Linked DNA regions of Saccharomyces cerevisiae S288C. Changing the gene in region 3 together with the main gene of any one other region gives a genetic interaction. Each region holds a gene or a part of one and is shown on either strand. Other genes may lie near its edges.

Region 1 (4,064 bases), on a different chromosome or scaffold from region 3:
GTTTCTGGTTTAAAGCTATTCGTTCATTGCAACGCTCCTTTCTGCTATCCTTTCGCAAAGTGGCAAGTACTGAAAACCGAGAAGAATAAATAATATTGCGATGAGTTTATACTTTACGACATTATTTTTATTGCTCACTGTTGAGATGGTAATGCTCTTCATCTTCGTTTTGCCTTTGCCATTCCGGATCCGTAGGGGTATTTTTAGCACCTATAACCAATTGACAGCGAAGCAGCAAATAAAAACTATAATCTTTATAACGGGTTGTCTTGTTGGCCTGTTGTTTATTGATTCATGGAAAAGGTCTCAAATTCGTGTTTCATTATACCACAACGACAACAGTGGCTCAATCGGGTCATCTGCTGTAACTCCAATACAGGCACTAGCATCAAGAGCGTACAATCAAAGAAATATGTATATTTCCGGGTTCATATTGTACTTTTCTATCTGTATCCCAACTGTCATGTCTATTGTCAAGAGACTGGTGAAATACCAAGGCTTAATCAACGAACAAGAAAAGCAAAAATTGAACAAACCTTCCTCAAACAGCAAGAAAGACTCAAATGAAGCTGATTCCACCAAACTTCAAGAGGAACTAAGGAAAAAGCAAATTTCTCTGGAGGGCCTACAAAAGCAAGTCAAAAACCTGGAGAAATATTTTGATGAGAAGAATCAACCTGGAAATGTAGCAGCTGCTGAAGCTTCCAAGAAAGGAAACTAAATAGATATATTTATGTATAAATGTATATACGTGTTACCTCTGGTGCTCATACTTCTCTGGTCGCGACGCAATACGAAAATGCTACTGAAATAAAAAGCAAGCGATTAGATCAAATGAATATATGCATTATATGTTACCAACTTTATTTTTTTTGAATATAGACGAAAAAACGTTAGAGAAAGACATAAAAAAAAAAGATTGAGCTTCGTGACTCGGTTTACCATTCTGTGTTATATACGAAAACCCTTATATAACAACTTTTTAAATTTTTTTCTCATTTTGGTATATCTTTTTAATTTCACTATGTTTGCTATCGTTCTTATAAAACAAATAAAGTAGAACTGGAATCATAACACCCACAGAACCGACCATTAGTCTAGATGTTTGTTTCTTAGGATTAGACCCTATCACAGGCTCAAAATCCTTTGAGGATACATATCTCCTACTTGTCCGTTGTAATAATTTCAAAATATTAGATCTCATCATTTAAAAATGTAAGCTTTTTTTTACTTGAGTTTTTGTTGTCAGAGTTAGGTCCAAAGTCCCTAGAATAGTGTACGCGATAAAACTCAGCTGCAAGTCTAATATATACATTCCGCCAGAAATTTCAATTTGGGATCCCTGCATATTGCCAAATTTATTGGAGAAACTGTTAAACCTAAAAGAACGGTAGTAGCTCTATCAACTTAAGGGTTGGGCACCCTTAAATGTTTCATTCAATAGGGAGATCCATTTCAAGTTGCCTATTTACTTGTACCCCTACATAGTCCAAGGGCGATGAACTACCTATAATAATGCCGGTAGGCATGCTTCCGGATATTACAAGACTATTCGCTGAAACCGTATGAACATCGTACGTTCCGCGATTGTAATAGACCTTTGCCAACTTGTATTTTTCGATGATACTATAAAGTTCGGAAAGAAGAAGGAAGTGTGGCAATTTCACTGGGAGCCAAAAGCATTTGACATCAGGCGTCATTGAAGCGTCATTAAGTATTATAAATTCGTATATAAGGGTAGCAACATAAGTGGTATTTTTTTTATATAATCGTGCTCCTTCTAAAAAATTCATTATATTATTAGCTAGTGAGGGAACATGATATGAGCTGCCCAAAGCGAGAAAAAAAAGGCGCTCATATGTACCCTCCCATGCCATAAGTTATTCATTCATAAATCCACTTAGCTTGATTAGATTCCCAATCAACTAACTCTTCCTTCTTAAACCACAAATTGATTTCACGTTCAGCGCTATCAACAGAATCACTGCCGTGACAGACGTTTCTGCCTAGGTCAATACCGAAATCACCTCTAATGGTACCTGGTGCACTGCCCAAAGGATTAGTAGCACCAAGAATAGTTCTTCCTTGTCTAACCACATCTTTTCCCTCCCAGACCGTGGCCAAAATGGGACCAGACTTCATAAAGGATACCATCTTTGGGAAAAATGGTTTACCAACATGCTCTGCGTAATGTTGCTCTAGTAATTTATCATCCGCTTTAACTAATTTAATAGCAACTAGTTTGTAACCTTTTTTTTCAAAACGAGATAGAATTTGAGATACTAAGCCCCTCTGGACACCATCTGGTTTTACCGCAATAAAAGTTCTTTCTGTTTGACTAGACATTTTTCCAGGGATGATTTATGAGATGTTTTTCCGGAAAGAACCTGATAACTTGATAAAGTATTCTATAGATAACCTATTTCAAAATAAGAAAACGATATGAGCTAACGAAGTACTAAGTCTTTCACTTTATATAATCGGCTCTCCGAATTAAAGTACTTTTAAGGAGGAAAACTGGTCTTCATTTTCGAAGACACGAAACGAAGCGAATTACGCGCCTTTTTATTTGATGGACTTGCTCGCCAGCCCAATGGATACGAACAAAAATTAATTCAAAAAATAGGAAAAAATGAAGACTCAGTGGATTCTGATGTAATTGTTGGGATTCCATTGTGATTAAGGCTATAATATTAGGTATGTAGATATACTAGAAGTTCTCCTCAAGGATTTAGGAATCCATAAAAGGGAATCTGTAATTCTACACAATTCTATAAATATTATTATCATCGTTTTATATGTTAACATTCATTGATCCTATTACATTATCAATCCTTGCGTTTCAGCTTCCACTAATTTAGATGACTATTTCTCATCATTTGCGCCAGCTTCTAACACCGTATATGATAATATACTAGCAACGTAAATACTAGTTAGTAGATGATAGTTGATTTTTATTCCAACAAAAAAGTCAGACTGGACGCATTATAATGCTTACTCATCTACTTTTTTTGCTTTCACTTGCTAATTTCAATATGCTTTCTTGATGTTTCTTTCATTTGCTCTTTCATCAGACATTCTATATCGGTCACTTTTTTACTCGTAACTTTAAATGTGATAAATGGGGAAATGGAGTGGTACAAGCATTCGAGTATATTTAATTCTTTCCCTTCCTTTCATCGAGAAGGAAACTGCTATAAATTCACCATTACGGAAAGCTTATGTAACTACTCCCCTTTTGTTGGAATTGAACTCTAATATCATCTATTTAATATTATATTATCACATGCGGTGTGAGAAGATGACATAAAGATTGAGAAACAGTCATCCGATCTAATGGAAGCTGAAATGCAAGGATTGATAATGTAATAGGATAATGAATGACAACATATAAAAGGAAGGAAGATAAAATAATAACATTATGTAGAACTATCGATTCCCTTTTGTGGATTCCTATATCCTCGAGGAGAACTTCTAGTATATTCTGTATACCAATATTATAGCCTTTAGCAGCAATGGAATCCCAACAATTATCTAACAACTCACATATTTCTCCCCTTTATCAGTTCTACGTTGTAATGCTTCTTTACAGTCACCACTTGTAGGTTTAACATAAAAAAGCAAAGAGTACATAATATTTATTCAACCAGATGTGCAGATGTAACCAAAAACTTCACAGTTGTTTGCCATCTTAGTATAGTGGTTAGTACACATCGTTGTGGCCGATGAAACCCTGGTTCGATTCTAGGAGATGGCATTTTATTTTTTTCCTTTAGCCTTCATGGTCTGTCCGTTTTTATTTCATGAGACAACCTTTCTGCATCTGGCGATGCCACCAACCTTCATTGAAAAGAGGTCAATGTTCTTCTACAAAGGTTATAGAACCTCTTCATTTTTGTCTCCTCAAAATCCCATTCAAATGTGCCATGGCTGTTGATCAGGCATTTTCGGTCACACAATTACAATTAAGTATTTTTGTTTTCCGACAATTATTATATATACAATACAACGAAAATCTATCAGCTGAACATCTAGACTACTTAGACGATACAAGGATTCTCTAC
Region 2 (4,876 bases), on a different chromosome or scaffold from region 3:
TTGCAGACATTTTTATTACTCTTTCTGATACTTGATTATCGGGGTTATTGATCCTAGTGTGTCTTGACAACGTTTCTCGAATCAGGATTATTTTACACCGAGAAAGAAAGAGTCAATACTAATAATCTCGAAAGATCTTCAAGTGAAAAATAAAAAAAAATGATAAATAAAAAATAGAAACTATGAAACTATGTAAAAAAAAAACAAATAGACATATCCAAGCAAGTCCAATAGCATAGACATTAAGCACGACAGCTGTAAAAAATGTCAAAGTTTGTTATCACCTGCATAGCTCATGGAGAAAATCTCCCAAAAGAAACCATCGACCAGATTGCGAAAGAAATTACTGAAAGCTCGGCGAAAGATGTATCAATCAATGGTACCAAGAAACTATCGGCCAGAGCTACCGATATATTCATTGAAGTCGCAGGATCGATTGTTCAAAAAGACCTCAAGAATAAGCTGACGAACGTCATTGACAGTCATAATGATGTTGATGTTATTGTTTCTGTCGACAATGAATATCGTCAAGCCAAAAAGCTCTTTGTCTTTGACATGGATTCAACATTAATCTACCAAGAGGTCATCGAATTGATTGCCGCTTATGCTGGTGTTGAAGAACAAGTGCACGAGATCACAGAAAGAGCCATGAACAATGAACTTGATTTCAAAGAGTCTTTAAGAGAACGCGTTAAATTATTGCAAGGCCTCCAAGTCGATACACTATATGATGAAATAAAACAAAAGCTAGAGGTCACCAAGGGTGTGCCAGAACTATGCAAGTTCCTTCACAAAAAAAATTGCAAGCTCGCTGTTTTAAGCGGTGGTTTTATTCAGTTTGCCGGTTTTATCAAGGATCAGTTAGGTTTAGATTTTTGTAAGGCAAACTTGTTGGAAGTTGACACTGATGGAAAATTAACCGGTAAAACACTGGGTCCTATCGTAGACGGACAGTGCAAGAGTGAAACCCTTCTGCAACTATGTAATGACTACAATGTTCCAGTTGAAGCAAGTTGTATGGTGGGTGACGGTGGTAACGACCTGCCAGCCATGGCTACCGCCGGGTTTGGGATCGCATGGAACGCCAAGCCAAAGGTGCAGAAAGCTGCACCTTGTAAGTTGAATACCAAGAGCATGACTGACATTTTATACATTCTTGGTTACACCGATGATGAAATATACAATAGACAATGAAGAAAATAATGATAGATAGATGTAATAGAGTTTCTTTTTAAAATTGTTTATTTAAACTGGTAAACATGATGTACTTTACGTAGCGTTAATATACCGGCAACTATACGTTGGAAGCAATAGCTTGCTTGATAGCAGCTGGGTTGGCACCGACGACTCTGGTAACCTCCTTACCGCCCTTGTAGAAGATTAGGGTAGGCATGGAAGAAACTTCAGCTTTTTGAGCAACATCTGAGACTTCATCAACATCCAACTTGTAAAAAGCAGCGTCAGAATATTGTTCTGCAAACTTTTCAATCATTGGTGCAATCATTTTACATGGCCCACACCATGTGGCAAAAAAGTCAACAACGACTAACTTGTCGCCAGATGCTAAAGCACTGTCGTATTCAGAAGCGGATTTTAATTGAGTGACCATTATTGATGTGTTATTTAAAGATATCGTAGACTCTCGTGTATGTGTGCGTGTATAATTCTTGCTAGACAACAAATAAAAACTGGTCCTCGTTATTCTCTTGTCAGCTTTTCATCCCCCGAATGGCTTTCTTATATACTGATATCCCTCTTTCGGCTGGCTGGAAACTGAACGCGCTTAGTAAGAAAAGAGCCACCTTGTAGGGAGCATCCTTTACTAAGAGTATAAACAATTACACATATACTTTGATGATTACTTAATATTCACTGGCACTCAAGTTATGCTGATCTTGGAGCGATCTTGAAGCCGAGTATGTCATTCTTACCGGGCTCAACAAGACTTTCTTCACTGACTCTCACGCCGCCAACGGTTTCAATGCTTGCAATGGTGACCTCGCCACCCATGATATACCTGGCAACTTTGCCAACAGGGGTTCCTCGCTTGACCAAAAAACAATCTCTAAATACGTTGGTTCCGTTGCCACCCGTAAAAGTCTGGATGTTCTTCACAGTGTACACCGGTATTAGACCAAGGATGTCCGTTGCTGCTTGCAGAACCTGAACAACACCCGTAGATCCGAATCTATACAGGACCAAATCTCTGATATTTTCAATTCTGTTAAGGATCTTGTCGTCCAGTGGCTTTAGTTTGTCTGGCTCGTCCTCAAATGTGTCAACAAATTCCGTGCCCTCCTCGTATAATATAAAACCTTGCTTTTTCAATTTCCTCAAAAAAACTTCCGTCACTGCACTGGTCAGTACAGCTTTGGTGTCAGGATACTTTAGCATGATTTTAGAAACATTTTTATCGGCGTCAGGGTGGTCAATCTTGTTGAGTGCCAACACAGTTGGAAATTTCTCCATCATAAAGGACTTGACCACTCGAGTGATCCATTCGTCATCCCATTTTTCCAAAGGTGGTAGTCCCTTCAACCTGTCCAGGGCTTTTTGGATCATGGGCGCATGTGAACCGTACCCACCGAATTGCGCTTGAAGTGTGTCCACTATGCTAGATTTCGTTGCTGTATGTTTACGCACAATAGACCCCCATCTTTTCTTCAGGTTCCCCTCAACCCAAAGCCTGATTTCGTCTTGCAGCCATTCTATATCGTTCAATGGATCATATCCTCTTGTGTTCTTCCCCTCTGCATCTGTGGTTCCACTAACGTCCACCACATGAATAAGAGCATCTGCGTGTCTTAAATCATCCAAGAATTTATTTCCAAGCCCTCTGCCGGAATGCGCTCCAGGCACAAGCCCTGCCACATCCAACAGTTTGATGGGGATATGCCTCTTACCCTTGCTACACCACCCGTAGTTAGGTTTACAAAGATCTTCCTTGCCAAATCTGGAGCAAGCACACTCAACTTGCAAGTAGCCGGTTGCCTGATTTGGCTCGATCGTGGTAAAGGGAAATGCTCCTACCGCCGCACCTGCGTCCGTCAAAGAATTTAATGTGGTGGATTTCCCTGAAGATGGCTTACCCACAATACCAATCAATGGATCCCTGGGCATACTGGCTCTATTTCCGTTTTATTCTTACAGACAGCTTATACTACAAGTTAGTTGGACAAAAGCTAAAAGACGGAAAACGAAAACGCAAAATGAAAATAAAACCAACTCTCATTACAATTCATCCTAGAACACTTACACATCTGTTTTGCACTGCATAGCATTACATTTCTTGCATATCTATCTATTCGAGAAAAAAAAAAAAAGGCATCGAGTGAATTTTTCACCTTGATAAAAAAGCCCTTACTAACCCTACAATAAATTGTGCCGAAACCCTCTGGAGTTTTCTAGAATATTCTAGCCCCATCAGGGCTAGAATATCCTAAAAGTTTATAGTTGACGAAAATTTTTCAGCGATGAGATGCACATTTATAATGCTATGATGTTCAACGCAAAGGAAATCATAGCGTTATCGGGTAGGTTCGCATCGTTAGCAATAGCTAGTCGCATATATACACAGAGATACATATTATACCTATACCGTTAAGAAATAGGATAGAAAATAATGAGCGAACAAAAGGAAGATTTGTTTAAACCAGTAGGAGAAGCTGCTGCAGAGGTCGAAGATGAAAGCATAGCCGAACAGAACAAAGCTAATGACGGCGTCAAGTTAACCGGCGCACAGGACGCCATGGGCCATCCAGTGCAAGAGATAGAGTCTCTTTGTATGAATTGTGGAAAGAACGGTACAACCAGACTTCTTCTGACTTCCATCCCTTATTTCAGAGAAATAATTATTATGTCATTCGACTGTCCTCACTGTGGGTTTAAGAACTGTGAGATCCAACCCGCTTCTCAAATTCAAGAGAAGGGCTCTCGTTACGTTTTGAAAGTGGAGTGCCGTGAAGATTTTAACAGGCAAGTTATTAAGTCAGAAACTGCCACTTGTAAGTTTGTCGAGCTAGACATTGAGATTCCTGCTAAGAGAGGTCAATTGACGACAGTTGAAGGTTTGTTATCCGAGATGATCGACGATCTGTCGCAAGACCAGGAAATGAGAAAATCTATAGACGAAGCTCTTTACAAGAAGATCGATGACTTCATACAGAAAGTTAAATCCTACATCAATTGTGAACCCAACACTATTCCGATTACATTTATTTTGGATGATCCTGCGGGAAATTCCTGGATCGAATACAAACCCGGTGAACCTCAACACAAATGGTCTCATACCCAGTACGTGAGAACCGACGAACAAAACGTTCAAGTTGGCATTATTACTAGAGACCAGTTGGAGCAACGTCGCCAAGAACAATTAAAACAATTGGCCAACCGTGAAAGAAATCCTTCTGAATCTGTCAAAGTTGGCTCAGCAAACCCACAGTTTTTGTCAGACGCCACCGACATCGAAAACTTTAACAACGAGGTGCAAACATTCAGAGCTTCTTGTCCATCGTGTACCCAAGAGTGTGAAACTCATATGAAGCCAGTAAATATCCCACACTTTAAAGAAGTCATTATCATGTCGACGGTCTGCGATCATTGTGGTTATAAGTCTAATGAGGTGAAGACCGGTGGTGCCATCCCTGACAAAGGAAGAAGGATTACTTTATACTGTGACGATGCAGCTGACTTGTCCCGTGATATTTTGAAATCTGAGACCTGTAGTATGGTAATTCCTGAATTACATCTTGATATTCAAGAAGGTACATTGGGTGGTAGATTCACCACTTTGGAAGGTTTACTAAGACAAGTCTACGAAGAACTAGAATCCCGTATTTTCACTCAAACTTCGGATTCCATGGACGAAGCAACGAAA
Region 3 (6,646 bases):
TTGCTGTATAATCGGCCCTTTCATACTTGTACAAACATAGCACAGTAACCCAGTTAAAATATGTCTCCTGCAGCAGCTCAAACAGCAATCCCTCTTCCATCTACCGATTTACCAGTCAAAATCATTACAAATGGGTTGAAAAACCTGAATTATACCTCCAAGCAAGGTTACGGGAATTTTGATACCCATTTTTATGATGGCCAAGATGAGGTCTCTCCATCTGGTTTATTGAAAATCCGTAAATCTTATAGAGAGAAATCGAAGTATCCAGATTATTTGCCTACATGGGATCCTACTGAAAAGTATGGCCCGCTGGAATTTCACGAATACCATGATCCTGCTTTGAGAGCTGACGGTAACTTTTCAAACCTTTTTGCAAAAGAAAACGTTGGTCAACTAAAGGTGAAGAAGATCACCCCGAAATTAGGTCTCGAGATCAATGGGATCCAGCTAACTGATCTTTCTGATGCTGCAAAAGATGAACTCGCTTTGCTTGTCGCCCAAAAGGGAGTAGTTGTCTTTAGAAATCAGAATTTTGCTGACGAGGGACCCGATTATGTGACTGAATACGGAAGACATTTTGGCAAGTTGCACATTCATCAAACTAGTGGCCACCCTCAAAACAATCCTGAGCTGCATATCACTTTCCGAAGACCTGATGCGGAAGAATTTGCAAGAGTTTTTGATGACTCGACATCATCTGGTGGCTGGCACACAGACGTCTCTTACGAGTTACAGCCACCTTCTTATACTTTCTTTAGTGTTGTTGAAGGTCCTGATGGTGGTGGAGATACGTTATTTGCGGATACGATCGAGGCTTTCGACAGGTTGTCGAAGCCTTTGCAAGATTTCTTGAGCACGCTTCATGTCATCCATAGCTCAAAGGAACAGGCAGAGAATTCACAGCGCCAGGGCGGCATAAAAAGAAGAGCACCTGTCACGCATATTCATCCACTGGTCAGAGTTCATCCTGTCTTGAAAAAGAAATGCTTGTATGTCAATCGTGCATTTTCTAGGAAAATAGTCGAATTGAAAAGACAAGAATCTGAATCACTTTTGAATTTCTTGTACAATCTAGTGGAGAGCAGCCATGATTTACAGTTAAGAGCCAAATGGGAACCTCATTCCGTCGTCATTTGGGATAACCGCAGAGTTCAACATTCAGCAGTGATTGATTGGGAAGAACCAATTCACAGACATGCGTTCAGGATTACTCCACAAGCGGAAAGGCCCGTGGAAGATCTAAAGTTTTTGAATGATGAAAATTATTATCCTTCTTCATTAACTTTGGATATTTGAATTTCAAAGATGCAGGTTGTATATAGCCGGAATTCGTTGCAGAGGCAGTTCCAACGTTGCTCAACTTATTCTTTTTTTTGGTTAAAATTGTGTATAAACCTTAAAATAGCGGCGACAACACTTCTTTTTTATAGTTTATAGTAAACCCCAACCTGTGTACATATAAACTAAAGAAAAACTGTGACGCTTTTATTCTGGTAAAGAAACTCTGAAGTTACAGATCAACTAATTCAGAGCGATATAATGTTGAAGTCAATAAGAAGGAACATCTTCAGTTTATAAACAACTAGTGATCTTATGAGCTCTGTCTACTTTCATTAATTAAGATCCATGTGAAGGTTCCAGAAAAGACTTCCTCCAAAAAAATTATATGCTAGAATGGAAAAAAACTTTTATAAACAATATTCTATAAAGATTATAAAGAATTCTTGATTTTTGATATTCTACTCATGATCTGCTTCATGAGTGTTTGGAGCCTCTGCTTTTCACAACATCTAAAGCACTTGAAAAAACTTTCAATAACCACTGGATATCTTCTAAACCTACGCTTACTCTAATAATGTTGGGGTCGGCCCCAAACTTGGAAACTTCTTCTAATTCTGAGTGGTGCGCCAGATGGACATATGGACATGCTAAGGTAAAGTTAGTACCATTAGAAGGTCCCTTGAATACCTTTAAAGAGTCATAGAATGCTTTTGCATCGCCCTCATTGAAAAAGGCTACAGAGAACAAGCATCCATAGCCACCACGTTCATTACGTACACTTTCGTAGTTCTCAAAGGTCTCCTTAGAAGTAACAGTTGGATAATAAATCTTTTTGCATATTTTCCCCTCCTCGGGTAAAAGCAAATCATTCAACAATATTCCTGTGTTTGCATTAGCACGTAAAGTTCTATCTTCAAAATCCCTGGAATTACGTTCTAAAACTATCGCATCTTCACACCATAACAAATCCTCGAAATTAGCGCTCCTGAAGTACTCACGAGCATATGGATACAGAGATGATTTCGGATTTAAAACGACAGAGCCGCCCATTACATTACTAGCACCATTGAAAAGCTTAGTCAGGGACGTGCTGACTATATCAGCATAGGGCAAGATGTCAACGTTAAGGCCCCCAATAGTATCATCAATTACAATAAAAAAGCCATACTGGTCGGCCAAACTCCTCAATTTTTTCAAATCCGGCATATTCAGCAGAGGATTTGAAGGTGTCTCGACGAAAACGGCAAGAATGCGTTGTTTGCTTGTTTCTAAAAACTTTTGTAATTCGACAACGTCTCTAGAATTTCCAAATCCAAAAAATTTACATTTTCCAAATTTAGTCATAATGACCTGCGTATCTTTGAAAGGGAAGCCGAAGATGCCAACAGTGTCACATAATAATGGCTTTTTCTTTTGGTCAGAGGTGGTCTTGTTTAATGAATCTCCTGAATTCTTCTTCTCCTCCCAAAAGGTGAGTAAATTACGAGCCGTAGATATTGCAGACATGCCACTTGATACAAGATAAACGTCTTCATTTGGGTTGAGGTTGAGTCCCTCCCAATTCGGGGTTTTCTTCTCCAAACCAAAGGGCCTGAAGCGATTCTCAACTATCCTTCCCTTTATCAGGTTCTTTGCTTTCTCCTCCCCCTTCTTTGCTGCAAAAACACCAGCCTCTAGCTCACGCAATACCTGCTCTGAGCCATGATTAGCGCAGTCAAGAAGTTGGTTGACAGACAACGCCAATCGACTAGATACACATTCACCTCTTAATTTCCAATACTCTTTCACAGTCTCGAACTCTTCCTCCGATGCAAGGACAGCAGCAATGGTTAGCACCAATTCCGCCGGTTCTTTCGACGTTTTTGCCCCACGGTTTTTAATCGTAACTGTTTCCACTTCAAGGTGAGCTTTACTTTCAGGTCCTGAGACAGATTTTACGTACTCGAAACACTTTAAACCCAGGTTAACGGATGGAAAAGGACGACAGTTTTCTGAACCTCGCCCAAATTTCTTAACAAAGTAAGCACAAAGCCTCTGGACGGGGGGTTGAGGAAAGTACCTCGGATATCCTGTAGCCATTTTGCCTATTACCTCTGGCACCTTTTCCGCATAGCCTATTGCCGAATCCCATGTAGGAATGCCAAAAGAAACAGCATAGTCTAGATTGCTGGGAAGGGGTTGCCCAAATTCAATTTCCGTCATAATAATTTCCACGATGATTAATAGTTGTTCAGTGGTGGTTGAGTACTAGATTTAAAATTTATGTTTTACCGCACCAGAGAAGAATCACTCAATGCTGGAATTGATGAATTGCATCTTGACAATAGGCATTAATATACTTTTTCAAACACATCATTGTAGTGTGCGGCATAACAACCGTGGCGCGTGTCAAGGACTTCTCGGAACACATGCTAAAGCTCCAGTCTCTATCCGTCTATTCTTTAATTTGCTCGTTTAAGAAAGAATAAAATGCCGTATACAGTTATTTCTTCCGTAAATAAATCTTCTTCAACATCCTTTCTTGAGAGCAGCCACACAAATCTAGAGGTGTCTGACTTAATGCAACACAAGGTCAATCTGAATTCAAAGCTGTGGCTGCATATTCATTAAACATATCTTTGAAGGATATCATTTTAGGTATTGCATTGAGTGGGCTTTTGAATCAAAGCCTAAAATGGGAGTATTATGAAAGCAGAGTAAAAATGTTCAGCACGTTGATCTTGAAAGCAGACGGAAAGTCTTATTAGATGAAATTAATGCTGAAATCTCGAAACTGTTCGCTCAGCTACCATGTGCATGTGTGTGGTGTTGGTATATTTTAGTATACTTCTTGATAAAGGTACCAAAGTACTGTATACACATGATAATAACTGGTTAGTCATCCTGGTGTTTTACTTCTTGGCATTCGGCTCGATCATGAGGATTTCGGGCCGAACCTGCTCCGAAGAAATGAAGAAATCTTTCGGCCAGGCATCATATCACAATGGGTTGCAGAATTTCTCGAAGGAATCACCTGTAGGAGTGAACCTCGAAAAAAAGAAAACACATATTTCATGCTGCATCATCCTTGCAACACAACGCTTCCTGCAGAAGTTTTCGAACAAAAGGCTTGGCAATCCTCACTTACACCCCACTCGCGAATCCACATTTTCACGTGAGCTTGCAACAGAGAATAATAGCGGAAACTTTCCCGTATTACTTAGATATCATATCTTCAGACAGCTAGATATCGAAAATGGAATTTTATTATGTCAAGTTCTGCAGGCGCTAATTATTGTTCAAGTAATGTTTTCGTGAGTCTAAAAGCTCGTACAATAGTTCTTTTTTTGGAACCCATTATGAAGCGGAGTGGATGAATAATACGGAATGAAAAGGGCGATAATGGCAAACAATTACGAGCAAAATTCGATGGATGCCGTATCACATTTGCGACAAAAAAATGATCAAAGATGGTAATAGAGTAAAATTTCACGAATGGAGGGCAGATACAAGAGCGAGATGCCAATAGATCGCAGATTAATGCAGCTGCATTTTCATCAGAAAGAGGTGCGCGTGAACTGTAGGAACAGTAGTGCAATTGGGAGTACGTTAACCACACATTTTGAAATCAAGAAGGAAAGTAGGCGCTGGAAATGACCCGAATCCTATAATCGGACAAGAAGGACATAGAAATCGGTATTTACAGTAAATATTCAAAAGACCTTCTACTACCGTGTGCAAAACAGGGAGTGGATACAAGTGGTTTGATCAAATGGAAGTATTTGATACTTCAGTTTCTCCGTTCCGTGTCCGTTCCCTTAGGTCGCGCTTAGTGCTCGAATTTCTTTCACTGCTTACTAATTCATTCGTTTACGTCTCAAATGATTAATAATGTGCTTCCTGCTAAAGGATAGAAACTTGGTGCTCTATATAAAGTACCTACAAAGGATACATGAATGGCAGAGGTTTCCTGATTTACAATGGAGGTGAAAAGATGAAACAAAAAATGATAATATATGACACACCCGCAGGGCCTTATCCGGCCCGAGTCCGCATTGCCTTGGCTGAGAAGAACATGCTATCAAGTGTGCAATTTGTGAGGATCAACCTCTGGAAGGGAGAGCACAAGAAGCCTGAATTTCTTGCCAAGAACTATTCAGGCACAGTGCCAGTGCTTGAACTTGATGACGGGACTTTAATCGCTGAATGCACAGCCATTACTGAATACATTGATGCACTTGATGGTACACCCACTCTTACCGGCAAAACACCGCTGGAAAAAGGCGTAATCCACATGATGAACAAACGCGCAGAGTTGGAACTGCTCGACCCTGTTAGTGTTTATTTTCACCATGCTACACCTGGATTGGGGCCTGAAGTCGAGCTTTACCAAAACAAAGAGTGGGGACTTCGCCAGCGCGACAAAGCCCTACATGGAATGCATTATTTTGATACCGTTCTCAGAGAACGCCCATATGTTGCTGGTGATTCATTCTCAATGGCTGACATCACAGTAATAGCTGGTCTAATATTTGCTGCAATTGTAAAACTACAAGTGCCGGAAGAGTGCGAGGCGCTTCGAGCTTGGTATAAGAGAATGCAACAGCGCCCCAGCGTGAAGAAACTGCTAGAAATCCGTTCAAAATCCTCGTAAAGTGGCTACTTGAGACAAGTTTTGCGTGGTACGTGGAAACTATATAAAAAGATCCAATCATGAAGCTATTCAAGAGGGTGCCATAGCTATATATAACTGATCGAAATTAGGGCTACAAAATTTAGGGGTTCTTCGCGGCGCCATTCTGTCAAGTAAAAAAATAGCTCAAGCAGTATTCTATAAAAGAATATATATACTATATATGTTAATTGTTTGACGGTGAAAGATTAAACATCAATATCATGATTCGTATTCCTTCCTTTTTATTCGTGATGTTGAGTAAGGTACAAAACCATACCAAACCACTGAAGACAATATCCTTACAGGTAGTTACATTTGCATCGATATTGCCGCGGTAGAGATTACTACTGAAATTCTTTGCTGCTTGCCGACTAGAAATTTAAGAAGATTTCAAATATGTTGGAGCTCACAAGGGGTCACTAAAGTTGGTGCAATAAAAAAAATTTAAGGAAACATGAAATAATGTTTGCAATAGAGAACTTCTAAGTCTGAGCTTGTGACACAAACAACTAATAAATTATGGTCACAGCTCATCCATTGGCCCAATGTAAGTTCTTCAAAATTACACTGTGATTGCGGTCCTACCAATGGCAGCCGTATGTAGAACAGGTCATGAATTTTCAAATATCAGCACCACCCAACGAGAAATATGGGATTACTACGCCATACTCAAAATATAATCACAGGAAGATTGACGTCTTGTATGCA

Evidence for each region. Genes that interact genetically often act in the same process or in processes that back each other up.
Region 1: mutations in HSU1 (region 3) and YNK1 together harm fitness more than expected from each alone (negative genetic interaction), as found in Saccharomyces cerevisiae (one large-scale study listed by BioGRID).
Region 2: mutations in HSU1 (region 3) and YGR210C together harm fitness more than expected from each alone (negative genetic interaction), as found in Saccharomyces cerevisiae (one large-scale study listed by BioGRID).

What each region holds. Positions count from the first base shown.
Region 1 is NC_001143.9:313,094-317,157, reverse strand, and holds YNK1 (nucleoside diphosphate kinase), read right to left. Parts: upstream 2,347-4,064; coding exon 1,885-2,346; downstream 1-1,884. Other genes in the region: YET1 (Yet1p), read left to right, coding at 101-721; DPC7 (Dpc7p), read right to left, coding at 983-1,204. UniProt on the Saccharomyces cerevisiae protein: Major role in the synthesis of nucleoside triphosphates other than ATP. The ATP gamma phosphate is transferred to the NDP beta phosphate via a ping-pong mechanism, using a phosphorylated active-site intermediate.
Region 2 is NC_001139.9:911,619-916,494, forward strand, and holds YGR210C (uncharacterized protein), read right to left. Parts: upstream 3,121-4,876; coding exon 1,885-3,120; downstream 1-1,884. Other genes in the region: CIR1 (Cir1p), read right to left, coding at 1-10; SER2 (phosphoserine phosphatase), read left to right, coding at 265-1,194; thioredoxin TRX2, read right to left, coding at 1,295-1,609; zinc finger-containing protein ZPR1, read left to right, coding at 3,623-4,876.
Region 3 is NC_001144.5:20,409-27,054, reverse strand, and holds HSU1 (cystathionine gamma-synthase), read right to left. Parts: upstream 3,487-6,646; coding exon 1,759-3,486; downstream 1-1,758. Other genes in the region: JLP1 (sulfonate dioxygenase), read left to right, coding at 61-1,299; glutathione transferase GTT2, read left to right, coding at 5,216-5,917. UniProt on the Saccharomyces cerevisiae protein: Plays a role in inorganic sulfur assimilation during sulfur-limited conditions; catalyzes the conversion of O-acetyl-L-homoserine (OAH) into homocysteine in the methionine biosynthesis pathway.